Canis lupus familiaris: one gene and its partners. The protein of the gene in region 5 purifies or fractionates together with the protein of the main gene of each other region. This does not show direct contact. Links are inferred from orthologs where the notes say so. Each region holds a gene or a part of one and is shown on either strand. Other genes may lie near its edges. The genes, in order: ARID1A, DPF2, SMARCD2, SMARCB1, SS18, BCL7C and ARID1B.

Region 1 (3,500 bases), on a different chromosome or scaffold from region 5:
CTGGGTTGGAAGGCATGAGATTCGGCTGTGGAGCTCCAGTGCCCATGTTTCCCTCGGGTCCTATTCCAGGCTCCGTCCTAAACACAAATGGAGAAGTGGATTGAGTTCACTCTTGCTGTGGGGTGCTGGGGTGGGACACGTGCAGGGGCCATGCTCACCTCACTCTGTCATAAGGACCTCCATAGGGATAGTGCTGTCGCGGTCCCATTGCCACATTTCCCAGCCCAGGGCCAGCAGCACGGCTGTAGGGGTCTCCCATTCCGCCATTGGGGCCCTGCCCTGAGGACATGAAGGGATCGCTCCCTGGAGCTGAACGCAGAAAGGAAGGCAGTGAGCAAACTGGTAAGCCAGGAGGCCTAGCAAACTACACCTTGCCTGCCCCGAACACCAGGCCCTCTTCAGGGCTCGGGTTTGATCCTACTGTTTCCCCAACAGGTTCAAAAGAGATCTAAAGAGACTACCACCAGCAAAGAGCACGTACTGGTTTAGGTGTGCAAGGTGAAGCCAGTGAGAGGGAGACAAGAGGTAGGGATTAAGAGTGGTGGTTAGGACTGGAAAGGCCTTATCTCAGAGAATGGCTTTACAGGAACCCTGAATCACTCTCAACATATCCTCCCCATTTCCCTGGCCCTGTCCTCAAGGGCACAAGGCTAACAGCAACTGGTTACCTTTCCTCATGCTGCCATAAGGATCCTTATTTGGCTCGTAGGACATGCGCCCCATCATGTCAGAGGTATTCATACTGGGCTGGTACCCAGGGTTTGGAGTCATGGAATTCCGCTTCTGGAATGTGGGGTCACTTCCATCAGGAAAGGCATCCTGGATCCCAACCGAATTGCTCCTGCTCCAGAGTGAAGAAAGCCAATTAAACCCCAAATAAAGGAATTCCTCCTGTAGGCAGGGCACATGAGAGTCACTGGCTGAGCAGGCAGAGCAGGGACCACCCTGGGCTGCACAAGAACTCATGCACTTCTGCCCAGATCCTCCAAGTCACCTGCCTCTGTTCCTGGCCTTACCTCATGCCTGGCAAGGGGGGGATCTGACTGTGTGGTGTGGATGCTGGAGTTGGTGGCTTCAGGTCTCCTCCTTCTGCCATGGAACTGCTGGTTGACTGAGGTGTCTGTGGCCCCTGCATAGACCCAGATCCCGCTGTGGACAGAGATATGGGGTGAGCTGGCAAATGTTTAACTCTCACAGAAATACACAAATGCCCTGCCATCTCTGGAAAGGATTGTTGTAAGGCTAAAGCTGGGGTTCTTGAAAGCCTAAATCACCCTTCTCAGCAAGGGATGTGTAAGGCCAGGTAATAAGAAGAGAATCTGAGGGTGGTTCTTCTTCTGACATGGGGCTTGAACTCATGACCCTGAGATCAAGACCTCAACTGAGACCAAAAGTCGAACAGATGCTTAACTGACTAAGCCACCCAGGTGCTCTGGGGAATCTGAGATTTCTATTGCTCCTTGCTACTGTTTCACATTTGGGAGAATAGGAGTAGTGTGGTGATGGCATCACCATGCTAGTGATTTTGTTGAGTTCCTGCCAGTTTCCCTGACTACTTTTTTCTTTATTTCCCCAAGGACCCCTGTCTAACCTACTAAACCCTATAATGCTGGCACACAAGTTCCCAGTAAGAGCCCCTGGAATCCTAAGTAGGAAGGCTCCATCTTGTCCCAAACCTGCAGTGTACTTGAGGAACCTAGGAGCTCCTACTCACAAGTATCTAGCACTGTATCACCACTCAGGTTCCAATATGCCTCCAAGCTGATGAGAGCAGAACTACCAGTAATTAATGTTTCCATTAGTTACCATTCCCAGCAGCAGATATCCCACTGCTTAGGCCTCCCCAGCTGATGAGTCATCTCAGGCACTCATTACATCCTCAGAGGTCAATAGCAGGGCACATGTGTTTACACCCACCTTCTAGGAGCCCTGGCCTTCCTCCCTCCCCATGCTTGCCCTGGCCCCAGCCTCCTCTCAGAAAGGAGGGTGGGCAGAGGCACTCCCATCGAGTTCCATTCATATCCCCCTCTCCCTCCTTCCCATTCATTAGCATCTCAGCTCCCTGGGGAATTTAGGGCTCCAGTCTGAGCTGCATTCTAAGGCGCTGACATCCGTGGGCCAAAGCTCCCAGATGGCCCTGCCTCATTGCGATTTGTCAGATTTCCCCACTCCTCTGATGTCCCTCCCACTCACTAGTTTACAAACATTTGGCAAGTTGCCAGGTGCACAATGAAAATTAAAACTTAAGGGCTGCTGCAGACTACCTCTCAAGGGAGTCGCCACTGCCCGCTCCTAGTGTGCCAACATAGTAAGCCCTGAGGTAGTGCTGGGCAAAGCACACGTCCTTGGAGTCAGGCACTGTTGAATAAGAACCCGGACCCTTGAATGCTACTTGCGAAGGGTGAGCCTTAGTGGGGCGGCTCACCCGATCCTTACCAGGAGAGGGAGGCTGGATCTTGGGCTGGGACTTCTTGGAATCAGAAGCTGCAAAGATGTCTGGGGGAGGGTCTTCTCCCCGTTCAATCTTGCACTCAAAGGCATAGAGACACTGGATGTACTGCTTTTTCAAGGAGCTGGCAGCACTGCTCGAGGTGCCCACATTGAGGTTGGTCGCAAGTTCCCGCCATTTTTTGTTCTTGTTGACCTGTACAACCAACCAGAAGAGTCGAGGTACATCTTCCACCTGGTCTTCCTGCCAATAAGCCCCAAACCCCCACCAGGATACCAGGTACTCATGTTTTATAGAATCGCAGTTCTCAATTAACCACTAAAGTTAACCCCCCTTGAGGCATAGTCCACAACAAACGTTAAATCCAAGGCTAGCTCCCCTCTACCCTCAGCAGGTTCTATCCATAGACCACCGCAACTAGCAAGCTAGCAGACAGTGCTTATTTGAAAGAGCACAAATTTTAGATCACTATTAGTGGGAGAAAACAGAATTCAGAAGGTATGATGCTTTACAAGTATAGTTCTGAAAAATGCTGTGCAAATCAACATCAGATGCAAACCCCTTCAAAGGCAACAATAAAAATCAACCTTTTCCAGAGATGTGGCAATATCAGCTACCACTCTGCTTGACTTACTTTGTCAAACTGGAGGTTTCCACATCTGGGTTGTTTCTTGGTGTGGGGCTCTTTGCCAATTTTACATTCTGTGCCACAGCTGCTCTATTTCTCAGTGACATGTAACTAACTACAAGCCCCCTTCCTATACGAGACACTGTCCTGATTGTCCAGGAGATGCTTCAGGCCCTCTAACTTCTCTGTGCCCTCCCAGTAGCCTACACTAATCTCTATTCCTAAGCTTCAGGATGCACTGACCAAGACCATTCCCAAACCCTACAATTAGATGATCTTTCTGTTCTAGCCAGGCAGGTCCTCCTTTTCCATGTATTTTTATGCTTATTCATCCACCTCAAAGGCTGGGAACACCAGCTTTCCAGTCTAAACCCACAAAGGAAGCTCAGTATGTTGTGGTATCTACTGACCTGGTACCTGTGA
Region 2 (4,248 bases), on a different chromosome or scaffold from region 5:
ACATGAGGGAGACCCCTAGCATGAGAAGCTGGGCAGAGTGAGTCTCTGTTGCTTATGTCCGTAATTCAAGATACACCGACAAACCACGCTCTGGAATCCGAGGGGGGCTTCTCAGAGCAGTCACAATATAGTACTTAGGCACAGCTTAGTATGTTCCCAAGCAACTGAAAAAGACATACATCACACACAAGGCGATGCCTGGCTTGATTCAATGAGCAGTAATGCCTGTAATTTGAGGTAAGCATGAATTTTGTGTTGGAGAGTGAAGAGAAGGGAACAGGCTCACATTAGCTGGCCTTTAGGAGGCAGCCATGTCCTCACCACACAGAGGAAAATTGGATAAACAGGCCGAGTGCAGCAGCTCCTTTGTTTCTGCTGATGGGAATGGATACTGACACTGGAAGTCAAATGGAAGGACGGAGAGACAGGCTGAGGGCTGCAAAGTCACAGCATGGAGGCCAGAATTGGTTTTTTTTGGGGAACAATGAGAGATGTTCTATCAAAGCACTTGTGAGTTAAGTGGGATTTCAGAAGGTGGTTCAAACTGTCTTGTGAGTAAGAGAACTGGGAATGAAATGCCTAAGTTGGGGGGGGAGAGAGAATCTGATGAGGAGAAACTAAGAGAGAGTGAGAGAATTCATAAATAAGAAAATTCTCTCAGAACAAGATGCAAGCCAGAGAAGATGAGCTAGTAGTGCTGACCTCAATGTATAACCTCAGCTGTTCAAAAAACAAGCATACCACGATCAAGAGAAGCTCCAGAAAAGTATCTCTCTCCTGGGTGAGAATAGTACAGGAAGACTGGAAACCCCTTCTCAAAGGGCAAGTTTTGTAAGGAAATGTATTAATTGCGGTCCATAGTCCTCTGCAGCTAGAACTGAGGAGAAAGTTGGTTTCTCGTTACTAGTACTCAGGAACTAGTGGCTGGTGCCCCTCACAATCTCTGTAGTCCCTTTAATAGAAGTAAGTCATGCTCTGTTGAAATGGGCAACTCCTCCCTTCTAGTACTACATGAAAGGGTTGACAACTCTATTCCCCTGAAGAAAGTCTTCCAACATAAAGTCCCATTACCCGTGAACTCGCAAAACCTAGGCAAGTCTTACATTCCCCCAGTACAGTAAATTTCCAAGGTAGGAGCTCTGATTCTTTTCTGGGAAGCATGAAAACTGTGTAAAACCTCCCTTTACAATGGGATTGGGGTGGAGGGTAATCAACAAAGAGAAACGCAGGGAAACAAAGAACAGGAGTCAGGAAGGATAACTATATAAATGGTAGATCAACAGCGACATTTCTAAATTGAGGGAAATGTCAGCCTGAAGAAAGAGCTGGGGGAAACTGGAGTGGGCAGATCAGAGAGAAAGATAATAGTGTTGGGAGGAGGGGTAGCTGAAAAGAGGCCGCAGGATGGAGCTGAAAGCAAGTTAAAAAAAAAAAAAAAAAAAAACCCACAGGAGGAGAAGAAGGCACTTAGCTTAATGGAAGTGGGAATGCATTCTCAAAGAAAAGGCTCCAGGCGGGGAGGGGTGGGGGTGGGGGGATGTGGGCAAAGCAACGTACTCTCCATAAAGACTCTTGGGAAGAGTGGGGGCTCAGCCCACCACAAAGGCAGCTGAGAAGCTGAGTCCCTCAGAATAGTTCCAAATCTTTACCTTGTCATCCAGTCAAAATCCACAAGCCCTGCCTGGACAACTAGTCACCTCTCAATTTTCCCACCTCTGCACCAAGCCCAATTCACCCATTAAACAGAGTTCGCTCTATTCGTCCACCAGGTACGAACCCATTTCGATCTTCTTCAGGGAGGAGGCTGGGTTAAATCAAGTCCCAAAGCATTTTTAACTCACGGCCAACAGACCACACTCCATTTCCCCAACAACCATGAACTTTAACTTTGCTCGCAGCCTGCCCAGCAGCAGGGGACTGACTGCACAGCGCGCAGCACGCCGACCTAGATGCCCCTCTAGGCTGCAGAGGCGTCCTGGACCGCTTCCGTCCACTTCCCGTTTTTCGGTGGCTGGACTGGCCGGCGCAAAGGCCCTCAAGTTCTTTCCTTGCTGCATCCGCACCTCAACAAATTCTTCCCAATAATGTTTTTGGTCTCGGGTATCAGATACTCAAGACCCCCACCCCCCACCCCCGGACGTCACAGGGCTGTTAAAACAGCCCCGCCATGCTTAACCACGCAAGGGCTGCTGAGCCTGTTGCTCCAGGAACTGCTGCGGGCAGCGGGGCGGGAAGGGGGGGCGCCTGGCTTCGCGGGGACGCGGGTGGGTCCCGGGGCCGCCCTCGGCCCGGCCCGGCCCCTCCGCACCGAGGCGTCTGGTCTCGGGAGCGCACTCAGACCGTGTTTCTCGTCTGCAACGTGGGCGCCATACTCAGGACACCGCGAGCCCGAAGGAGCGCTCAGCCCGCACAGCCCCGCAGGGAGGCTGCCCGTAAGGGGCTCCCGTGTGCCCCCCTCAGGGCCTCCACAAGTTTCCAAAGAAGCGCAACGTCTTCCTGTGAGTCTCCTGTTGCCCTCCCTACTAGGAGTCGCAACAAGGCTTTCTCGGGCACGTCCTTCCCTCCGCCTAGTCCCCTGCCGCGCCGCCCCCTACTCCCAGGCCCATTACAAGACCTCCTGGCCTAGGAGAGAAAGAAACCACTACTCACAGCTTCACTACATTTTCTACCACAGCCGCCATCTTCCCTGCTCCTCTCCCTCAGGCCGGGAGGCCCGGAGCCCTCAGCGCGCAGGCGCAGGGACCGCACCGGGGAACCGGTTTCCTCGTTCCTCTGCGCAGGCGCCGCCCGAGCACGCGCGCCCGAGAGCAGCTTCGTGACTGTCCACAGGGGCGGGGGAGCCCAGGGAGCCCAACGCGCAGGCGCGACGGGCACGGGGGCGGGGAGCCCGGGGTCTTCCACCGTGAGGACCGGACCGGGGAGGGAGCGTCTGGGCTGGTACAGAAAGGAGAGGATTGATGAAATGATGACATGAAGCTGGTGAAAACTGGAGGCCCAGAGTTAGGCTAGATGGAGCCTATGCGTACTGCTGCCTCACCGACCTTTAACCTTGTGGTTAACCCTTTGTCCTCACTCACGGGCGCGGGGAGGGGGCTGTTGGTGGACAGCAGAAGACGGTGCACCATCCGCTTGGGCCTCCAGTCGTGTGCCCGTTCAGGGAGAGGAAGATTAACGTCCCGAACTGAGCAGTTCTTTGGCATGAGTATTGGAGTCTTGGCAAAAATTGCCTCCCCTTCCTCCCACAAAACCCTGCCACCAACTTCAGTGCTACCCACCTCCCTTGCTTCCTACTTCTGTCCCTCCAATTAGGCTCTAAGAACTTCCCTCCTGCAATTATCCCTGAATCTTTCGTACCATTCATTTCTCCTTCACCGTTGAATCGCAAATTCGTGTACAAACATGGCTTAACATCTTTAAAAATCAGAGCCCCTGTAAAAATAAAAAAAAATAAAAATAATAAAATAAAATAAAAATCAGAGCCCTGGGCAGCCCCGGTGGCTCAGCGGTTTAGCGCTGCCTTCAGCCCAGGGCCTGATCCTGGAGACCCGGGGTTGAGTCCCACGTCAGGCACCCTGCATGGAGCCTGCTTCTCCGGCCTGTGTCTCTGCCTCTCTCTCTCTCCCTCTCTCTGTGTCTCTCATGAATAAATAAATAATAAATAAATAATACAACAAAAATTACAAATTTAAAAAATAAAAATCAGAGAGCCCTTCCTGCAGCCCATGGTGGCCTTGGATTATCGTCCCATTTTTTCCATCCTTTCAAGGCAAAGTTTCTGTTTATACTCCGTATCTCTGCTGACTTATTTCCAAGGCCCCTTCTGCCCAGTTTAATGATTTTGTTCCTACTGGTTCGTTGAAACACAGACACCATGACACCACTGACCATTCCCTCCTTTTTCCTTTTTAAAGATTTATTTATTTAAGAAAGAGAGCGTGTGAAAGGAGGGGGTGAGAAGAAGAGGGAGAGGGATATGCTGAGCAAGGAGCCCGATGGGGGTGGGGGTGCTTGATCCCATGACTCTGAGATCATGACCTAAGCCAACATCAAGAGTCCAGCGTTCAACCCACATTCCCCCCACATTCCCTCCTTTTTCAAGCTCTTTTCAGGGTCTCTGAGACCAGCATTCTCTTAGATGTGCTCTAAGCACACTGAAGTTCCTTTACCTCTTTTGTTAAGTCTGTCCTTTGTTCCACTTGTAAATGTCACAGTCCTCAGGCCATGGTCTTTGCCATATACCTCATTCCA
Region 3 (4,247 bases), on a different chromosome or scaffold from region 5:
TTAATTTAAATAAATAAATAAAAGAAATGCAGAAGCTTGAGCCTTACCCCAAACCCCAGGCATACTGAATCATAATCTGCATTTTAAACCAAAGCCCCAGATGTTTCTTTCTTTTTTTTTTTTTTTTTTTTAAGATTTTATTTATTCATGAGAGAGAGAAAGAGACAGAGACACAGGCAGAGGGAGAAGCAGGCTCCATGCAGGGAGCCCGAATGGGACTCGATCCCAGAACTCCAGGATCATGCCCTGGGCTGAAGGCAGCGCTAAACCACTGAGCCACCCGGGCTGCCCAAAAGCCCCAGATGTTTCTTGTGCTTATTAAAGTTTAAGAAGCACTGGCCTGTATCAGGGGGAGGAAACCCCAGATGACCAGCATGTAGGCTAACACAGCTGAAGGGCTTTATTTTGAATACCTTATGACACAGGATAGTGGTTTCTGAAAAGGTATTGAATTTTTTTTCCAATTAAGTACTATAAATCCTGGAGAAAGACCTTATTTAACTGCAGGGAGTTTTCTCACAAGGCAAAATTCCTCCCCCTAGAAACATTTCCTGTGGAGTAAAGTACTAGGCTTCCTTAAAGTGAGGCAGAGCCACGTTAAAAATATGCGATAAGAGCTCGGCGCAGGGCCAAGTCAGCCCGTCACACAGCTGGACTGGGTCTGGGGCAGCTGACGTCCCTTGGCAGCTCTGAGCCAGCAGGATGGGCTATTAAACAAAGTGAAGCTGGTGGCTCTTCTGCCTCAGGAAACAGCTCTAAGCTGAATTTTTACTGCCTAAAACATAGAAAAGCGACTTAAGTCAACTATTTTCAGGGAGTGTAACTGGGAACCTCGGGGGGCGGGCTCCACGGGGCAGAGATCAGCAACTCCCCACGCATTCTCTGTTGAAGCCCTTAGGTGACCTTCAACCTCTGACCCCGCGCCTTGCACAGCGCTTCCTGCGCAGCTTTCCGCCTCCGCCCCTCCGGTCAAGGGCGGGCCTGAGGCGTGGGGGCGTGGCTGGGGGGGGCGGCTGGCGGTTAGGGGCGGTGCTTGCTGGGGGCGGGTCTCGCGAGGGGCGGGATTTGAGCGGCACCGTGGCATTGGACTGCAGGTTCTAGGCGGGGCCTAGCGCCGGGCTTGTTTGGGCGGGGCTGGGAGTTAGTTGCCGCCTCCGGGTAACTGGACTCCGGCGGCCAAACCTCCGGAGGCCGCGAGCGTCAGGCGGGCGTGCAGCAGATCCCGGATCCGGAATTGCCCGGGCAGGACCGGAATCAGGATCGGCCCTGCCCCAAACCGGGTCTGCGAGGAGGAACTTGAGAACTTGGATTGGGAAATCCCGGAACCCGGATCAACAAGCCCCAGAACCCGGAATTTAGATCGGGAAGTCCCGGAGCACGGATCGCGGAGCGGACTCGACACGGAGCCCGGAGCCCGGATCGCGACACCGCCGGACGGGACGGAGCGATGTCGGGCCGTGGCGCGGGCGGGTTCCCGCTGCCTCCGCTGAGTCCTGGTGGCGGCGCCGTTGCCGCGGCCCTGGGAGCGCCGCCTCCGCCCGCGGGACCCGGCATGCTGCCGGGACCGGCGCTCAGGGGGCCAGGGCCGGCTGGCGGCGTGGGGGGCCCCGGGGCCGCCGCCTTCCGCCCCATGGGCCCCGCGGGCCCCGCGGCGCAGTACCAGGTGAGCAGCGCGGCCGGGCGGGCGGGTGGCGCCGCGAGGTCGCCCGGGGCGATGGGGCGATGGGGGCTGGAGTCGGGGCCGCGGGGCAGCCCCCGGGCGGGGCACGGGGGCCCGGCGTGCGGAGTGCGCGGGACGGGGTGCAGGGCAAGGCCGGGCGGCGGGGCAGCTCGGGGAGAGGGTCAGAGCGAGCCTGGGCTGGAGGGTTGGGGGCGGTTGGGAGGGTCTGGAGGTTTTCTTGGAACGGGGATTCTGAGTGAGAGGTGGAGGAACCGGAGCCCGGGAGCTGTGGGCGAGCGGACCGAGAAGTCTAGTGTAGGTCCTAGGGAAGGGGGCTCGGGGAAGTGCTGGGAAAGTTTTGCAAAAGGGCCCTCACGGAGAAACCAGGGTTACCCTGCCTTGGCCTTGGTCCCACTCCAAGTCTGCGCTGGGCTTTTTTTTTTTTTTTTTTTTCTTCTAGTTGGGAACTGGCAGAGTTCTAGCGTGTCTGAGATGGCTCCCAGCTGCTGATGGGGAGGAAGAAGGGCCTGGCTCCCCGCGGCCCGGGAGGTGGAGAACGGAGCAAGGGGACCCCAGCCTGTGCCGGGCAGGGTCTGCTCCAGGTCAGGCCCAGGAGCCCTCCCGTGGGGTGGCTCCGGGTTCGACCAGAGCTGGTGGTGGCCAGGCCTGAGGCAGGCGGAAAGCCCAGCCCGTTCTGGGCCGACTCTCCTTTTGGCTTTCTGCCTGGTGTCCTAGTGTCCAGGAGTTGGTTAGTGTGCAGGAGCAGAGAGGCTCCACTGAGCCCTGCTGGTCTGGGGCTGGAGGAGCCTGTCTGTGAGAGTTGCTTCAAAGAGTTCTGTCCTGACCCCTTTGGAGTTTGGCTTCCAAGAGAGCGCGTCTCAGGTTGCAGCTTCAAAGGCCGAGGAGAGGTAGAGACTCCATCCTTAGGGCCTGACCCTGCTGGTGGGGCTCATCAGTACCCCCCTCTCCAGTCCATTGTTTCTGGTTGCCCCAGAATGCTTGGGAATTGTGCCCATCCTTTTTTGCACTCTCTCTGCACTCTTATTTAGCCTTTAGGTTCTAGCAATGTCATATCCCAACCAACCCGTGTGCCCCAGCGTTTGGCACTGGCTTCTTTGCTAATCTCCCAAGGAAGCTGGGGTTGACTCTCTGGTCTCCAGGTAGAGGCTCCACAAATGGATCCTCATAGGATAGGATATGCTTATCTCCCTCGCCGCCCCCCTCAGAGCCCTGGGCCCTTACTTTCTAAAGAGACGCCTAACTGGGGACCCTGATTTTTCCCACTTACTCTTCATCCCCCCTCCTCTCTGTAAAGAAAACAAAATATCTGGGTACTGACAGAGATAATGCCAGTGACTCCCATCTTTCCCATCTTGCTTTCCCACTTGGGGATTCATGGGTCCAAGCTGATGCTGAGGGGTCTCGACATGAGTCATTACAGCCCCTGGGCCGGCTAGCTGAGCACAGGCCTTGGAGTCTCTCTGGGCCTTTGGTCTAAGAAGAGATAGGAGCCTCTCCAGTTGCCTTTGTTCAAAAGCTGTGAGCAGTGTGGCCTGGGGAAAGCCCTTGGATAATGGGTTCCACAGCCCTATGTAGGGAGTGGCCTTGGGCCAGTGGCAAGGTCCAGCTGACTGGCTGGGGAGCCCCAGGCTGCTAGGGTTGGGGACCAAAGGGTAGGCACTGAGCTTCTGCTTCTGCAAGCTTCCTGTCCCACCAGCTTTTCATAACCTCTTCCTCCTCCTCCAGGAAGGGACAGTAGAGGATCCAAGGGGAGAGGGAAGACCCAGTTCACCCTGGCTAAGTTCGAGTAAGATTCTGCTTGGCCTCTTTCTAAGTCCAGTTGTGTGACTTCCAGGAGATGGGACTTCAGAGGAGCAAAGGGGGTCCTGTCTGTTAGGGTACATGAAGTGAGCTAGAAGAGCAAGGCTTTCCAGGCCAAGTGGGGTAAGTTAGGGAACCTATGGAAAGAGGGGAAGTGATGACCCACCTCCCTCCACACAGTGGATCTAGCTGTGGATCATACTCGACAGAAGAGCTTAAGGAAAACAAGAAATGGGGCAGTTTGGGTGGCTCAGTGGTTTAGTGCCGCCTTCAGCCCAGTGCCTGATCCTGGGGACCCAAGATCGAGTCCCATGTCGGGCTCCCGGCAAGGAGCCTGCTTCTCCCTCTGCCTGTGTCTCTGCCTCTCATGAATAAATAAATAAAATCTTAAAAAAAAAAAAAAAAAAAAAAAGAAAGACAAAACAAAACCCAAAGAAACCCAGATTGTTGGGTTCACTCCAGAGTTCAAAATATTTTCTGCTTATGGAGGGGTATGTTCCCTTCTCTTAGGCCTGGGCCACCAGGGGCGCCAGGGCCACAGGCTTTGAGGCAGGGTGCTGCGTGCTCTCTGGAGGTGCAGCATTAGGCCCAGCCACGTGCCCTGCTGTCCTGGGCAGTGGAGGTAGAGTCACACTTAGGACATGGGCTGCTGCCGGGCAAGGGAGAGGACATTGTCACACACTTCCTAGCTTGAGCTTTACTGCAGGCAGGGACTTACAGAGCCTTGAGTGGCCTGACTGGGATTTGTTTTGGGGTGTTTTGTTTT
Region 4 (3,500 bases), on a different chromosome or scaffold from region 5:
AGTGAGCCCACAAAGGGCCGCTGAGCTGGCCGAGGCTCCAAAGAGACCAAAGGCATCACCACGCACAGGGAGCTGTCTTTTCCCCAAAATGGGATTAGAGAAGAACGAGGGAGGGGCTCAGCTGGTCTCCTACCTGAAGGCGTAGGTCTTCTGATGCCAGCTCAGCTGGCCCCGGATGCTGTATGCAATGGTGGTGACGAACTCCCCACCCAGCCCCAGCTCTGAGCACAGCTTCAGGGCAAATTTCTCGGGTGAGTTCTCCTTCTCTGACATGTCCCACTCAAACTGGTCCACCAGCGAAATGTTCCCCACGTGGATGTTCAGCTGGGGCAAGAACCGAAGAACACAAGTGAGAAGGGACAGAACCATGCCAACCTCGGAGGCCTCCGGGAGGCGAGACAGTCCAGCGGGGGAGCTGCCAGGCCAGCCTGGACCCTGCCCACCACTCACTAGCTGAGACCGGGGCTACCTTTCGTCCTTCTGGCCACAGGTCCCCATCCAGAACAACAGATGACACCAACGCCTGCTGGGATTGCCACAACAGGCTCTGGCTTAAGACCTGGCACAGTCACCTATCTTCCTAGTAGGTGTGATTGTCCCACGTGAATAGCCCACAAGGGTGCAGGTGAAGCCTGGGTGGGCAGCAGAGGCCCACGGCCGGCCCGCCTACCACACTTCCAGCAGACATTCTGCTGACGTGCAACCTGCAGCCAGTCCAGGCCTTGCCTGTGCAGCACCCAGACCACAATGGAACATAGCCTGCGCCCCAGGAGCTCCCCATGACACCTGCATTCAGAACCACCATCTTTACTCCTCATCCAGCAGATGAGCAGGACTGCTCTGCAACTGGGCGTCAATGAGTCACACAGGAAGGACACTCCAGGGTCTGTCTGGCTGTGTTCACCGGGCACTGTGTCCACGAGGCTCCGCCAATGGCTACAAGGCTGGGACCACCCCTCACTGCTCCCCAAGTGAACAGGCCACAGTGCACCGGCCCTTTCACCTACTATTGCTGTGTGCTCAGGTTTTGAAGACAATGCTCAAGGTGGCCACTGCTCAGGGCCCACTCCATGCAGGGTGGATCCTTCCCGCTGCCTTCAGGAAAGCGTGGGATCTCACTCCCTGTCCCCGTTCATGAAGCTCTGAACCTCTGGACCCTACACACCACTTTTCACTCGCTGTAAATGAGGCCCCTGTCCTTTCCCATTTCCGTGTTCTGCTCACACTGGGTGACCAATGACAGTTTGCAGAACGGAAGAGCTGCCCCTTCTTGCAGGAAACCAAGGCTCATGAGCCCTGAGGGCATGCTGGGACCAAGGAGATGTCAAGCAGCAGGCAGCCCACAGAAAAACATCAAGCGGGACCCAACAGGACCGACAAGTATAGTTGTTCACAGCCAGCCCCAGCAAGCCCTGCCCCGGGTACAAGAGCAGCAGTCCTCTCCGCCACCAGGCGGCGCCATGTGGCCTGGGCTGTCTGTCCCCTCCATTAATTGGGTCAAGAATGCTTGCATCTATTAAAAATTACAGAGTGTGGGCCTATCAAGAGAGGCACAGGGAACACAACGTGAGTCTCTCCGACAAAAAGCCATCTTCGTGGGTTGACATTCCAGTTGGGGGAGAGACACCCAAGCATGTCAAATATGTGAATGGGAGGTACATGGCCTATGTGGCCAGGGCCTAAAGGGAAAATGAGGGGACAGCTGGAAAGCACACAGGAGGCCATGTTAGCCAGGAGGCCCAAGATTGCCTCCTCAGGGAGACAGCATTTTAGGAAGAACAAAATGGGCAGACAGCAGGACATGCAGCTCCTTAGAGAGAAGGGTCCTGGGCAGAGTTAGGCCTGAGGCTGTCCTAAGGGCTCCAATTTCCACAAAGGGATCTGGGAGGTCTGTGGAGTGTTCTGAGCAGAGAAGAGACACTAGCTGCCACTGAGACCTCTGCTGGAGGGAGCCAAGAAACAGTGGGGATTCGGGGGGCGCTGAGGAGCTGGACTCTGAGTGGGCCCAGAGATGGGGCAGGGCCAGGACCCCTGAGGGGGTGTACTGCACTGGGGCCAGACTCCACCCCCTCCTCAACTACCACCCCTTATCACCACATACACCTGCACAGGCAGGGCCCGGTCAGCTATGAAGAGCCTGATTGCTTGACTTGTGAGAAGCACTGAACCCCCCAAGCCCCTGAAACGAAACACAGCCAACCAGTGCTAAGTGCCCTGGTAAAGGCAGCCAGGTCTGGGCTATGGTCCCAGAGTCCCCCCAAAAAAATCTGTTTTAAGTGGTTGTTCCATGCTAAGGCACCACTTTGTGAAGACACTCCTCAGGTGCCACCACAGCAAAGATCCCTGTCCTCCACTATGTCCCAGGAGCCAGAGAACAAAGAATATCCTCAAGGAAGGACCCAGCTCTCCTTGAGTTCCCTTGACCCAAACCTTGGTGTGACCTTCAGTTTCCAGTGCCTACAAGGTGGGCACTGTCCCCGCGGCCATAAGCCCATGAGGGCTCTGACCTGATAAACACAGCAGCAGAGCTTCTCTGGGCCGTGTCCAGCCTTAGTGCCATGAAGCCCTCGCGTTAGAGCCGGGCAGGAAACGCACAAGCCCACAAGCCCTATCAGGACTTAAAACAAAAACAAAACCAAAAAAAAAATTCTGAAAAAAGTATCAGGAAGCCAGCTGGTTAGACTCAGCAGGACCCTGGTCATGGCCAAGCCCACCCATTTGGAAGCATGTTGTTGGGGGCAGCTGATCCGTGAGGCCGCAGTTACAGGACAAAGACAAGGCAGAGAACCGAGTCCTCGGGGCAATCCTTCAGAGGTGACAGGCTACACGTGAGAATGCAGGTGAGGGTCCCACTGCCCCTTTTCTTTCCTATGAAGTTCCCCTTCTTTCTCAGTCATACCCTTTGTCTGCTGGTTGGCCAGAATATGAAACTAAAATGGGTTAAGAAAAACAGATTCTCTCAAAAGAAATAACCACTGGGGCACCTGGCTGGCTCAGTCAGGAGAGCATGCAACTTTTTTTTTTTTAAGATTTTATTTATTTATTTATGGGAGACACAGAGAGAGAGACACAGGCAGAGGGAGAAGCAGGCTCCATGCAGGGGACCCGAATTGGAACTCAGTCCTGGAACTCCGGGATCACACCCTGAGCCAAAGGCAGAGGTTCAACCACTGAGCCACCCAGGCATCCCATAGAGAGCATGTAACTCTTGATCTTGGGTCACAAGTTCAAGATCCACGTTAAAAGAAATAATAATAAGGGCAGCCTGGGTGGCTCAGCGGTTTAGCGCTGCCTTCAGCCCAGGGCATGATCCTGGAGATCCGGGATCGAGTCCCATGTTGGGCTCCCTGCATGGAGCCTGCTTCTCCCTCTGCTTGTGTCTCTGCCTCTCTCTCTCTCTGTTTCTCATGAATAAATACATAAAATCGTAAAAAAAAAAAAATTATAAAAATAAATAAAATCTTTAAAAAATAATAATAATAAAATAAAAAATTTAACAA
Region 5 (3,500 bases):
AAATTTGCATTCCTGTAGAAGGGGATATATATGTGTATGTGTGTGAAGGTATATAGATACCTCCTTCGTAGTAATGTTGTGAGGAATCCTCATAAGGCCTATCGTAGCCTTGTTCAGGATACGACGGTTGCTGATAACCGTAATCATTATGACCTACATCAATTCGACAAGAGACAGGAAGAAACGTTAATGGCCACTGAGTGAAAACCCTAAATATATTTAAACTTTCAGATAAAATTGAAAAAAAGAAAAAGAAATGGAAATACATAAAAAATAATTTCAAATGCATTAGCCAAATATTTACCAATGTGATTGTTTTCATATTGAGATATAACGTGCAAATTTTTTAAAAGCAAAAAACAGTAGTTTTAGAAACATTACACTTAGTCTTAACTGATAATCCTCAACATGGGGGGGAAAAAAAACTTCATCTTCAATTTTTTTCAAAAAAGAGAAAGAAAGCATTTAGGCCTTTCACATGTAAATAACTTGAATTAAATTAGAATGAACAAAGGAAGCAATTATCATATTTTGTCAAACACCTGTTCTGCTGGTCGCCAATTCCACAGCATATGCTAAAACAATGCAAAGTATAAAAAAGCTCCATAAGTTTTTTTCCCCTGAAAGAAACTGAAACAAATTTTTCACATTCTATTTACTAGCATAACGTATATGTATCTTATAAAAGCATTTTCAGATGCAAGAATAATATTGCTTAATGCTGCCATTCTAGACGCCTTTAGAAAATATTTCTAGAGTACCATAAACACACCTTCAAAAAATTAATACTGTGTTTAGTGCCAGGGTACACCTTAAGTTTTAAGGCTCAATAAATTTTATGACTGGACTTTAATGAAAATCAATAGTCTACTTCTTTTAACTAAAGTTACACACCAAGAAAATGCAGGAAATAATGCTTCAGTTAGCTAAAATCTAAATTTTAGAAGAATGCCTAATTAAGAAGAGCAATACAGTTATGAATCAATGTTATATTCAGTGTTCTAGGATTTCAACGTTCCCAAACCACCTCATAAATAGCCACATGAAGGGTTGGCAAACTATGGCCTGCAGCATAAATATGGCCAGGGCCCTGCTTTTGTAAATAAAGTTTTACTGGAACACAGGTATGCCCATTCGCATTTTCTCTACCTGTTTTCATGCTACAGAAAGGATTCAGTAGTTGATATGGCCTGCAAAGAACTAAAATATTTACTCTCTGGCTCTTTAGTGAAAAAAGTTTGCCAACTCCTAATCTATATATTTATTGGCATAAATATCTGAATGATAGTAAGAAAATATTCAAGGCTATTTAAGCAAATTATTGTTATACATGGGATATTCTACATACATATCAGAAAAACATATTAATACACACCTATACAAAAATGATAGATTTTTAAATCCCCTCATGTAATAAATAATTTACATAACCTTAAAGTTTTGATGTCTAACAAAAATAACATCTATTTTGAATAGAAAGGTCGTATTTATAACAATACACATTTTACATTTCAGAAAAATACTCAAGACCAAAACAGTGTCAAATTCAACTCAATTATGTAAAATGTATTTTAAAAATTAAACAAAACAATCATTTACTTTCAGAGTTCCTAATACATAAAATTTGACAAACTAGATTTCACTTCTTTAAAATATCCATAGTCTATAAACATACTAAATTTTTTCGTTAAAAAAAATCTTAATGTCTATATATGAAAGAAAAAAGAAAAAAAACTCCAAAATTCTGAATTAATTCAGGGCAAGAAAACCTGAGATTTAAAAAAATATATCATTTCTTAACAAGAAACATCCATACATATCACCACTATCATAACAAACATTTATGATAAACAAAATTCTACAGATGAGTGTTTGCTCTGCCTATACAGGCAGAGTCTCTGCAGTAAAAAACCACTGTCTTTATACTGATATACCTTTATCCTTTATACATTAACAAAAAATGGCAGGCTAAAATATTTTTTAAATTCACCAAATTATATCTTCTTACTACTTCACATTAGCTTTGAGAGGATAGTCCCAACACTTTAGCTTTTAATTTTTTGTTTCTCCAAGTTTCTCTGTTAAGTAGTTTACCTTAAATATACCAAGGGAGCTTACTGGATAAATGAAGATTTTGACAAATCCTTTCATAACAAAACAAATCATACTGTAATGTGAATAGCCACCTGTAATTTATCACAGTTTTATATGTTTGGATTATTTTTTCCTCAACAAAGTATCATGAAATTTTCAAACACACAGAAAAACTGGAAGAACTGTATAGTGAAAGCCTATTTATGCTTGCATCACTTCCAAGTGCAATATATCTTTAATGACCAACTTTTTCATATACCACCTTCCCACAAAACTCATTAAACTAAATAATTAAAATCTGATTTCCAAATGCTTTTCCTATTCTCTCAACTTTAAACACAGCTATATCATATAATTTAACCTCCAAATTTTTCAGATACGAATGATAATATACACAAACCACAGTTCTTTGAGAAGTACTCAATGTTAACTAAAAATGATGAAACTTGGAAAAATACTCAAGAACTAGATCTTCTGTGTATTTATACCATGCATAAAAGTAAACCAATGGGTGAACTTTACAGTATGTGAATTATCTCAATAAAGTGTTTATTTAAAAAAAGTGTATCAGTAACAACTGCTTTGGTTCAAATTAACAATTCCAAACTAAGAGGATCCTCTTTTATGTAAGAAAGGATTCCAGTGACAGAATAATTCCTGATGGTACTAATACAGACTATCTAAACCAAATATACTTTGAAATGGATTATAAACTAATGCGACCACTGATGCTTTAAAAAGTGTTTCTAAATTTAGAAGAAACATATTGTGAGTTTCTTCATCCTCATTAAAATGTCTTGAACAGCTATCTACATTAATATTGGGCACAGATAGACAACAGGAAAATTAACATTAGGAGAGATTACCATCAGGGTAATATTGCTGGTTCATGCCTTCTGGAGGACCTTGTCCACCATGACTGTATTGGTCCCCATAATAGTCTTCCTGGCCTGAGTACTGCTGTGGTGGGCCTGAAAAACCACAACCAGTCAAGAGGTAAATAATTTGTTCTCTAATCTGTTATTAAGAGAAATTACTTCTCACCTGTAGACTCCCCTCCCATGCACTGGCATTTGAGATACTTTTTAACTATTCTTAATTACACACACAGATACACAAACACACAGCAACATCATACAACCACATTTCACAAAAACTGTTATGACCATACATGCAGTATCTAACAAGATCAACTTAAAAGAACAAATACTAACTCCTTAAAAAGAGGTTCAAACTAGTAGAAAATTTTCTTTCTGGTATTAGAGTAGTTTGGAACAAAATAGGGTTTGTTTCTCATCTTATATTCAGTAACTTCTCAAAACTAAAATATTATCTTCTGCTATGTATTAGTGAGCTTTTGTTATCAAATTTTAGGATATTAACCTTTTTCCCAGAAAAAAATAGAT
Region 6 (4,008 bases), on a different chromosome or scaffold from region 5:
TAAATGTACTGGTGGTGGTGGGGGGATCAGCACCAGATTCAGATTAAGAAACTGAATGTGACCAGTCCAAGAGCTCCCTTTTGGCCTCTCCCAAGAGTGACCACTATCCTGAGTTCTCACACCACAAATTAGTTTTGTTTTGAATTTCATATAAAAGGAATCATATAATGCGTACTGTTGTATCTGATTTCTTTCATGAGACTTGTCCCTGTTGTCTGTGTAGCAGGATATCACTCTCTGCTGTGTCCACTGTGTGAACAGGCTACAATTCATTTTCCACTCTACTCCTGATGGGCTGTTTCCAATTTGAGGCCGTGCTCTACGGTGCTATGAAGATTCCAGTACACATCACTTGGTGCTCACACCTACGCATTTCTCTCAGCTTCTCTAGAAAACTGCCAGTTTGGGTGGCCCCGGTGGTGCAGCTGTTTAGCGCCGCCTGCAGTCTAGGGCGTGATCCTGAAGACCCTAGATCGAGTCCCACGTCAGGCTCTCTGCATGGTGCCTGCTTGTCTCTCTGCCCCTCTCTCTTTCTCTCTGTGTCTCTGTGAATGAATAAATAAATAATTAAAAAAAAAAACCTGCCCGTTTTCCAAAGCATCTCTATCCATTTTCACTACCCCAGGAACATGAGAGGTCTGGTTGCTCTACTCCTTTGTCTACACTTGATATGGTCTGTCGTTCTCATTTTAGCCATTCTGGTGGGTGGAGACCTACTCATATTTGCAGCATCTGGCCAGAAATGGGCACTCTGAATAGACTGCTGAATGAATGGCTGAGGAAGAGCTGGACAGGGCGGGAGCGACAGCCAGGGGAGGCTGGACACACGCTCTGCACGCAGCACGAGGGCCACCCCCGCGCCACAGACGCTCGCCGTGAGAGTGACCCTCTCGCGCCCCCTCCTCCTCCCCGCGCCCACGTGGTCTGAACGCACCTCCCCGGCCCGGCGGCGCGCGCCCTGGCGCCAAGCTGTCCCCAACCCTCCCTCTTGGCGGCGGGTAGGGGGCGCTGCGCGTCGGGGCGCCCCGAGGGGGCGGGCCCGGTCGGGGCGGGGCCGGCCGGCTTCCAGGCCTGGGCTTTGGCCGCCCGCACCGCCGGGCCGCTCCGGGGACGGGCCGGGGCGGGGCGCGGCAGCAGGAAACGGGGCGGGGACTCGCGGAGGCGTTGGGGAGCGAGGGAGGGCGCGGCCAACTCCCGGAGGGACGGCAGGCCGAGAGAGCGGCGCCCGGGTCTGGCCCGAGCCTGAGCCCGCCGGACGGGAGGCGGCCCAGCCGCGGGCTCGGCCTCGGCCCCAGTCCCGCCAGCATGGCCGGCCGGACCGTGCGGGCCGAGACCCGGAGCCGGGCCAAAGATGACATCAAGAAGGTGATGGCGACCATCGAGAAGGTCCGGAGATGGTGAGCGCTGCCCGGGGGCCAGGGATGGGACCCGGCGGGACCACTCCTCCCCCAAATGCGTCTAACCTCCCCTTCGCCGGCCGTGGCCGCAGGGTGTTAGGTGTGCCCCCCGGAGCTACAGGGCTCTGTCCCCCTTCTGGCTACACCCTAGGGTCTACAAAGCGTGTTCCCAAGCCGTACCCTCATTTATGCCCCGCCCCCTTAAGCTTTGACACTCCTCCCTCAAGTATGTCCAGGATCTTCATTGCTATGGTCCCCAGCCAGGCCCTCAGCCTTGCTCCCTTGTATACCCCAGGGGTCTGCAGAGCCATGGCCCCAAACCGTGCTCTCTCCTTAGAGGCACCCCTGTTTATGGCCTGGGGTCTGCAGGACTCTCTTTCTCCTTCTAACCATATGCCCCATTAGCGAAACCGCAGCACCCCCAAGTCTACAGGTCTCCCCAGATGTGTTCAGCTCCTGGGGGGGGCTCTCTCCTCAGAATTCTGACCCAGTCCCCCCCTCCCACAGGGAGAAGCGCTGGGTGACTGTGGGCGACACTTCCCTTCGTATCTTCAAGTGGGTGCCAGTGGTGGACCCCCAGGAGGAGGTGAGCAAACTCCCCCACTGTGCACCCTCAGGCAAGCCCCTTCCAATCCCAGCCTCCACCTCCAGTCCTGCTCTGAGACCTCAAATGCAGCAGCCAAGACAGATGTTAACAATTATTAGCAACTCCACCCCCTTCTCCCTTTTTCCTGCTTCAGACCCCTGAGTTCAAGCCCTAATCCACTGTGCCAGCCTCCTGTAGGGCCTTTTGCTGCTCTGTGCCTCAGTCTCCTTATTTGGACAGTGGGGGCTTTGCAAGCACTAACTGGAAAGCCGGAGCTGACCCTTATCCCTCTAACCCCCAGGAACGACGGAGGGCAGGTGGCGGGACAGAGAGATCCCGAGGCCGGGAGCGGCGGGGCAGGGGCACCAGTCCCCGAGGGGGTGGTCCCCTCATCCTGCTGGATCTCAATGGTATGTAGGGATCCTGGGATTTGGGGGGGTGTTGTGGGATGGGGAATTGAGGGAGCAGATTGGGGCTCTCAGGCCCAATGCTCTCGGCTTTTGCTCCCACAGATGAAAACAGTAACCAGAGTTTCCATTCGGAAGGCTCCCTGCAAAAGGGCACCGAGCCCAGCCCTGGGGGTACCCCCCAGCCCAGCCGCCCTGTGTCACCTGCTGGACCACCAGAAGGGGTCCCAGAGGATGCTCAGCCCCCACGGCTGGGCCAAGAGAGAGGTAGGACCAGGTGCCTCCCTGCAGCCCTCTCTTCTGAGTTGGCTGGTGGCTGAGTTGGAGCCATCAGCTTACCCCTACCTACACCTGCTCCCCTCCTTGTTATCCCCTTCCAGAGGCCTTCCCTGACTCCTGCAGAAAGTCACCATCCTACCTCCAGTAGCTAACTGTCTCATTCATCCGGCTTCTTTGGGTCTTTTTTTTTTTTCCCTTTGGGTCTTTATGTAATTAATCACTGTCTGAGATTTTCATGTAAATTTTATTTTTTACTACTCAAATTTCTTCCCCCACTCCCACCTCATGTTGGCTTCCTGAACTTTGGGCCCATGTTGCTCCTGTCCATTACTAGATCCTCAGAACAATGTGGGACACATAGAATGTACTCAATAAATATTTGTTAAGGAATGAATAATAGTGATATTCCTGAGGGTGATTAATAAGTGATAATGATAGCTAAGACTTATTGAGCTCTGTGTGCCAGATACCATTCTAAGCACTGAACATGTTTGATTTCATTTAATCCTCACTATAACCCTATGAAAGTTATAATCCCCACATGTGGATGAGAAGCTGAAACCCAGAGAAGTCTCCTAAGCTCACATGGCCAATGAGCCAGCATCTTGGGCATAATTTTGCCTTAGCTCCTCTTTCTTCCATATAGTCAATCCCCTGTCTGGTCGGAACCACCTTGCAAATGTGTCTCCCTTCCTATAAGAGCCATCTCTTACCTGTGCCTGGCTCCAGCCTCCTTGTGGGTCTCCTCTTCCCTAGTCACCTCTACACAGCTGCCAGAGCAACTTTTTCTAAAGCATAGATATGGCAGGCTCATTTTCCTGCTTCAAAGCCTTCAATGGCTCCTATGGCCTTTGACTCCTCCACTTGGCACTCACGGCCCTTCGTGAACTATCCCTGTTGGTCTCATTGTTCCTTTCCAGGAATACCATGACTTGGGCCTATGGGCCTATGGGCTGTGTCTAGATTGTACCGTGCACTTGGGTACCTTTACTAATACAAAAACAACAGGCATTTATTGAGCGCTTTCTATGTGCTAGACACTGTACTGAGGGCTTTACCTGTATTATCTCATTGCATCCTCACAACAGTCTCATGTGGTAATTACTATCATTATCCCCACTTTGCAGGTGGGGAAACTAAGTCCAGAGGAATTAAGTCACTTGCCCAAGGTCAGGATTTGAACCGGAGGAATCCAACCTCAGAATCTGTCCTCACAAACATATAGTCTGTCTGCCTAAAATGTGCTCCATCTCCACATTTGTCTACCCGATCAGATCCTACTCACCCATCAAGATCCCACTTAAATGTCCTTGCTGTGTCTTCCTCTGGCCAATAGCAA
Region 7 (3,500 bases), on a different chromosome or scaffold from region 5:
ATGGAGCTACTGCGAACTTTCCCCAAGGCTGGGAATTTAGTAGGTTGAAGAGCTGGGACTCAGATATGTCTCGAATGGGTAAGTGAATTGGTTGTGGGATGGCAGAGGGAAGAATGCCCTCTGGACCAAGCCTGAGCAAAGGTCTCCCTGCACTTACCTTTTCTCATTCCACCAAAGGGGTCTTTGTTGGGTTCATAGGGCATCCTTCCCATCACATCAGGCATGCTCATGCCCTGCTGGTATGGGGTGCTTGGAGTCATGGAGTTCCGTTTTGGGAATGATGAATCACTGGCATCTGAGAATGGGTCGTGCACACTGACTGTACTGCTTCTAAGGAGACAAGAAAAATGAAAGCTTCGTGAAATAGCAGGAGATGCCTCCAAATGCTTGTTCAGAAAATAGGCCTAACTTGAAAATGTTTAATGTAAAAACCATCCCCTAAAATTACATGAATAAAACTAGTAGTATTCAACATTAAGGACACACACTTCTTCTTTACAGACAAATCTGATGTCATGTGGCTCACAGAGATCCTTTTGCATACCTTCCACCTTGCATCGGGGTCATCTGTCCGTGAGGGGTGGAGGCTGGGGTCGGTGGCTTCAGGTCACCTGGAACCTCTGCCATTGAGTTACTGCCAGTTGACTGGGGGGTCTGTGGACCTTGCAAGGATCCTGAGTTAGCTGACAGTAGTAGTACCAAGAGAAAATAAGAAAAAAAAAAAGAAGTTATCAAGTAAGCTCATCCTTCCTACTAATTTAAAAAAAAAAAGGAAAGACAACACGACACCATCTTATTAGAATTAGAAATAGTAACAATATCCATTACTGGTAACGACACAGTAAAATTAGTTGCTTTTATATTGTTTATAGTGAAAATTAGTAAAAGTTGTTTGTTTTGTTTTGTTTTTAGTAATCTATTTGGCAACATACTTCATTTGTGAGCCATAAAACATATTTATACCTCTTGACTGGGTAATTGCTTTCCTGGGTATTTATCTCAAGAAAATAATCTAATATAAAAGAAGGCTTTAGGCAGAAAAAAATGTTTATTTCAGTGTTGTTTATAATGGAGATAATCTAAATGTCTGAGAGTAAGGAAAAAAAATGGGATGAAAAATTCGGTATACTGATTTGATGGACTATTGTGCTATTTTAGGAAAAAAGTTAGAAAAATTACTACCAGGTCTTAGGCAATGAGAAATGTTTAAGTTGAAATGCAATGATACAAATTTTTAATGAGCCTTATATCACTTCAATGCCTCCTCAATGTCTGTGCTATGTCATTAATAAAGTCATTTTTAGAGCTCTGGAATCAGATTTGTTATTACAAAACCAAAGTCATGCTCTTTGGAGTTCTTTAATGTCATCATCAGAGTCCTGAGATTTGGCTTTAACTATAATTACACTATAATAACAGAGCTCAGTATTGAGCAAATCTTTTTAAAAACTTAAGTACTCACCTCATTGGAAAACATAGTATTTTAAGGGTTCCCGCTTTATCACTGACCTTTGCATGTGAGGTGCCCGAAAGACACTACCTACATTTATTAATTCAACAAATACTTATTGAATAAATAACATGCTTACTACATTGCTTACTATATTGCTTTTTTTCTATTCCTGGATGCACCAGTGTCCCAAACTGACAAAAAGGACAAAAATTCCTGCCCTCATGCAGTTTATAATAAATGCTTTCAGAACTGTTACAAATGGCAGAAATTACTGGCTGCTTGTCAAAGATGATACTGTATATGTTATTATCTGGAGTCCCTTTCCTAGGAGTGTCCGACACTCACTACAATTACCAGTAGCCACATTTAACTGTAGAGGAAATGGGGTTCAACAAATCACTGGAGATTACAGAGCGTGCTGGGAAGGAGCCCGAGGTGGAAATTAGTCCAGCTCTTCCAGTCAGAAAGCCTCAGCGGAACACAGAGGTCTCCAGTGAGATCAGGTCAGCCCTGGGCCTGGCCTGCTTGGGAGTGAATCTTGAGCCCTGGCCACCAGGGCCCTGCCTCCTGTGTAAGGTGTACGCTGGGTGCCCGGGACTAGAGTGACTCAGGGCAGCTCTCAGAGATGCCGGGAAGACTAGCTTGAAAAGTAGATCATCTTTTTAATGTAGATATCGCCAAAGAAAAGCTTAGTAACACATGCTTATAAATCAGATTTTGGTGAAACCCTACATATCAAATAAATAGATCGTAATAAGAGAAAAAAAAGTGGAGTCTTCTATAAATATGTAAGGATAAACCTACAAATGTGACTGCCCCACAGAGCTGGCAGGAGAAATAACGTGCTCCTTAAATCACAGACCACACTCCACAGCAGCCTGTGCGGCTTCCCTGGAAACATGGTTCACAGGCTGTGATTTCAGAATGACCCTTATTTACAAGTATTCACATTTACAGCTAATAAAAAAAAAAAAAAAAAAAAGGAAAAATTCTTCCCTCTGCCAGTATTTTTTCCTCTCCTTTCAGGAAAAAAAAAATGAACACAACCTCTTGAAGCTCCATTAATAGACGAGGCTGGCACACTCTGTAGGCTCTCCCTACCTTTTGCCAGAAGCTACAAATGTATACTCGAAAGTAAACAATGGAAAGGTTATTGAAGGTTAAGTACATTCACACACTTCAGACTGTACAGCCAGACTCCTAGCTGGGAAGATAATTTACACAGCACGAACCTGGTGCCCTAGTTCTGGCTGGGGTTTCGGGAAGGAGGGCAGGGAGAAGGAAGGAGAGCTGATATGTCCCAGGTCTACAGTGACTGGAGGTCACCCAGAGGGCACCTTTGTTTATAACCTGAACCTCTTTCTCATTTATCTTCCACTGAGGATTCCCTAGTTGGATCCATGACAGGTTTTGTGACATCACCTGTCAGCTAATAATAGAAATGCAGTCAGCCACCTGCCAGCAAAGATGGATGGGTTTTTGGTTACAGACTTACTAATTGAATGTGGAGCTTCCTCGGCCCCCCTTTACCCCGCCCCCACCCCACCCCAGCTTCCAGGCCTCCTAGGCCACTTGGGGAGGTGATTTCTGCAGCTGTTCATTAGAACTCCATGAACTTTTACAGGCTTATTATAACGAGATCCCCACTGGCACCTCAGAAATGCAACTGTACCCCAGGCCTTGCCCACGTTTCATCTGGGAGCTTCCCTCAATGGACTCGCCCAAGTCACTGGAAGACAGTAACATGGAGCTCTGGCTTGAGAAACCACACAGTCCCTACGGTGAAGATCACGGGCCGAGGGGTTCTACCTCCCAGAGGCTGGCGGAAAGGAAGTTCAGTCCACACTGGCCACACCAGATCGAAACCGGAATACAGATGGATGACACACAACGCTAGTGTAGCCAAATGAGCTGGGAATTCAGGTGGCTTCAGAGTGGCCATTTAGAAAGCAATCTAGTACTTTTCTTAGGAATCTTTTTAGTTTGGATGTGTTGATAAGAAATACACTATAATTACCTTCTTAGGGGGAGAATGGACTCTAAGAAC

What was found.
Region 1: the proteins of SS18 (region 5) and ARID1A purify together in Homo sapiens (affinity purification with mass spectrometry; 7 studies listed by BioGRID and IntAct, counting the BioPlex papers as one, with this or other methods). This does not show direct contact. The link is inferred for Canis lupus familiaris from reciprocal best matches to the Homo sapiens genes SS18 and ARID1A.
Region 2: the proteins of SS18 (region 5) and DPF2 purify together in Homo sapiens (affinity purification with mass spectrometry; 4 studies listed by BioGRID and IntAct, counting the BioPlex papers as one, with this or other methods). This does not show direct contact. The link is inferred for Canis lupus familiaris from reciprocal best matches to the Homo sapiens genes SS18 and DPF2.
Region 3: the proteins of SS18 (region 5) and SMARCD2 purify together in Homo sapiens (affinity purification with mass spectrometry; 4 studies listed by BioGRID and IntAct, counting the BioPlex papers as one, with this or other methods). This does not show direct contact. The link is inferred for Canis lupus familiaris from reciprocal best matches to the Homo sapiens genes SS18 and SMARCD2.
Region 4: the proteins of SS18 (region 5) and SMARCB1 purify together in Homo sapiens (affinity purification with mass spectrometry; 9 studies listed by BioGRID and IntAct, counting the BioPlex papers as one, with this or other methods). This does not show direct contact. The link is inferred for Canis lupus familiaris from reciprocal best matches to the Homo sapiens genes SS18 and SMARCB1.
Region 6: the proteins of SS18 (region 5) and BCL7C purify together in Homo sapiens (affinity purification with mass spectrometry; 3 studies listed by BioGRID and IntAct, counting the BioPlex papers as one, with this or other methods). This does not show direct contact. The link is inferred for Canis lupus familiaris from reciprocal best matches to the Homo sapiens genes SS18 and BCL7C.
Region 7: the proteins of SS18 (region 5) and ARID1B purify together in Homo sapiens (affinity purification with mass spectrometry; 4 studies listed by BioGRID and IntAct, counting the BioPlex papers as one, with this or other methods). This does not show direct contact. The link is inferred for Canis lupus familiaris from reciprocal best matches to the Homo sapiens genes SS18 and ARID1B.

The regions. Positions count from the first base shown.
Region 1 is NC_049223.1:72,735,666-72,739,165, forward strand, and holds part of ARID1A (AT-rich interactive domain-containing protein 1A), read right to left. Parts: intron 2,645-3,500; coding exon 2,437-2,644; intron 1,150-2,436; coding exon 1,017-1,149; intron 845-1,016; coding exon 669-844; intron 310-668; coding exon 159-309; intron 78-158; coding exon 1-77. UniProt on the Homo sapiens protein: Involved in transcriptional activation and repression of select genes by chromatin remodeling (alteration of DNA-nucleosome topology).
Region 2 is NC_049239.1:52,349,216-52,353,463, forward strand, and holds the start of DPF2 (zinc finger protein ubi-d4), read right to left. Parts: upstream 2,801-4,248; 5' UTR 2,682-2,800; coding exon 2,650-2,681; intron 1-2,649. UniProt on the Homo sapiens protein: Plays an active role in transcriptional regulation by binding modified histones H3 and H4. Is a negative regulator of myeloid differentiation of hematopoietic progenitor cells. Might also have a role in the development and maturation of lymphoid cells.
Region 3 is NC_049230.1:15,127,763-15,132,009, forward strand, and holds the start of SMARCD2 (SWI/SNF-related matrix-associated actin-dependent regulator of chromatin subfamily D member 2), read left to right. Parts: upstream 1-1,447; coding exon 1,448-1,663; intron 1,664-4,120; exon of another isoform or gene 4,121-4,247. UniProt on the Homo sapiens protein: Involved in transcriptional activation and repression of select genes by chromatin remodeling (alteration of DNA-nucleosome topology).
Region 4 is NC_049247.1:28,793,369-28,796,868, forward strand, and holds part of SMARCB1 (SWI/SNF-related matrix-associated actin-dependent regulator of chromatin subfamily B member 1), read right to left. Parts: intron 325-3,500; coding exon 134-324; intron 1-133.
Region 5 is NC_049228.1:62,584,523-62,588,022, reverse strand, and holds part of SS18 (protein SSXT), read right to left. Parts: intron 3,066-3,500; coding exon 2,961-3,065; intron 154-2,960; coding exon 61-153; intron 1-60. UniProt on the Homo sapiens protein: Appears to function synergistically with RBM14 as a transcriptional coactivator. Isoform 1 and isoform 2 function in nuclear receptor coactivation. Isoform 1 and isoform 2 function in general transcriptional coactivation.
Region 6 is NC_049227.1:17,466,859-17,470,866, forward strand, and holds the start of BCL7C (B-cell CLL/lymphoma 7 protein family member C), read left to right. Parts: upstream 1-1,208; 5' UTR 1,209-1,305; coding exon 1,306-1,397; intron 1,398-1,904; coding exon 1,905-1,983; intron 1,984-2,284; coding exon 2,285-2,393; intron 2,394-2,495; coding exon 2,496-2,657; intron 2,658-3,954; exon of another isoform or gene 3,955-4,008. UniProt on the Homo sapiens protein: May play an anti-apoptotic role.
Region 7 is NC_049222.1:47,265,147-47,268,646, reverse strand, and holds part of ARID1B (AT-rich interactive domain-containing protein 1B), read right to left. Parts: intron 684-3,500; coding exon 545-683; intron 331-544; coding exon 158-330; intron 1-157. UniProt on the Homo sapiens protein: Involved in transcriptional activation and repression of select genes by chromatin remodeling (alteration of DNA-nucleosome topology).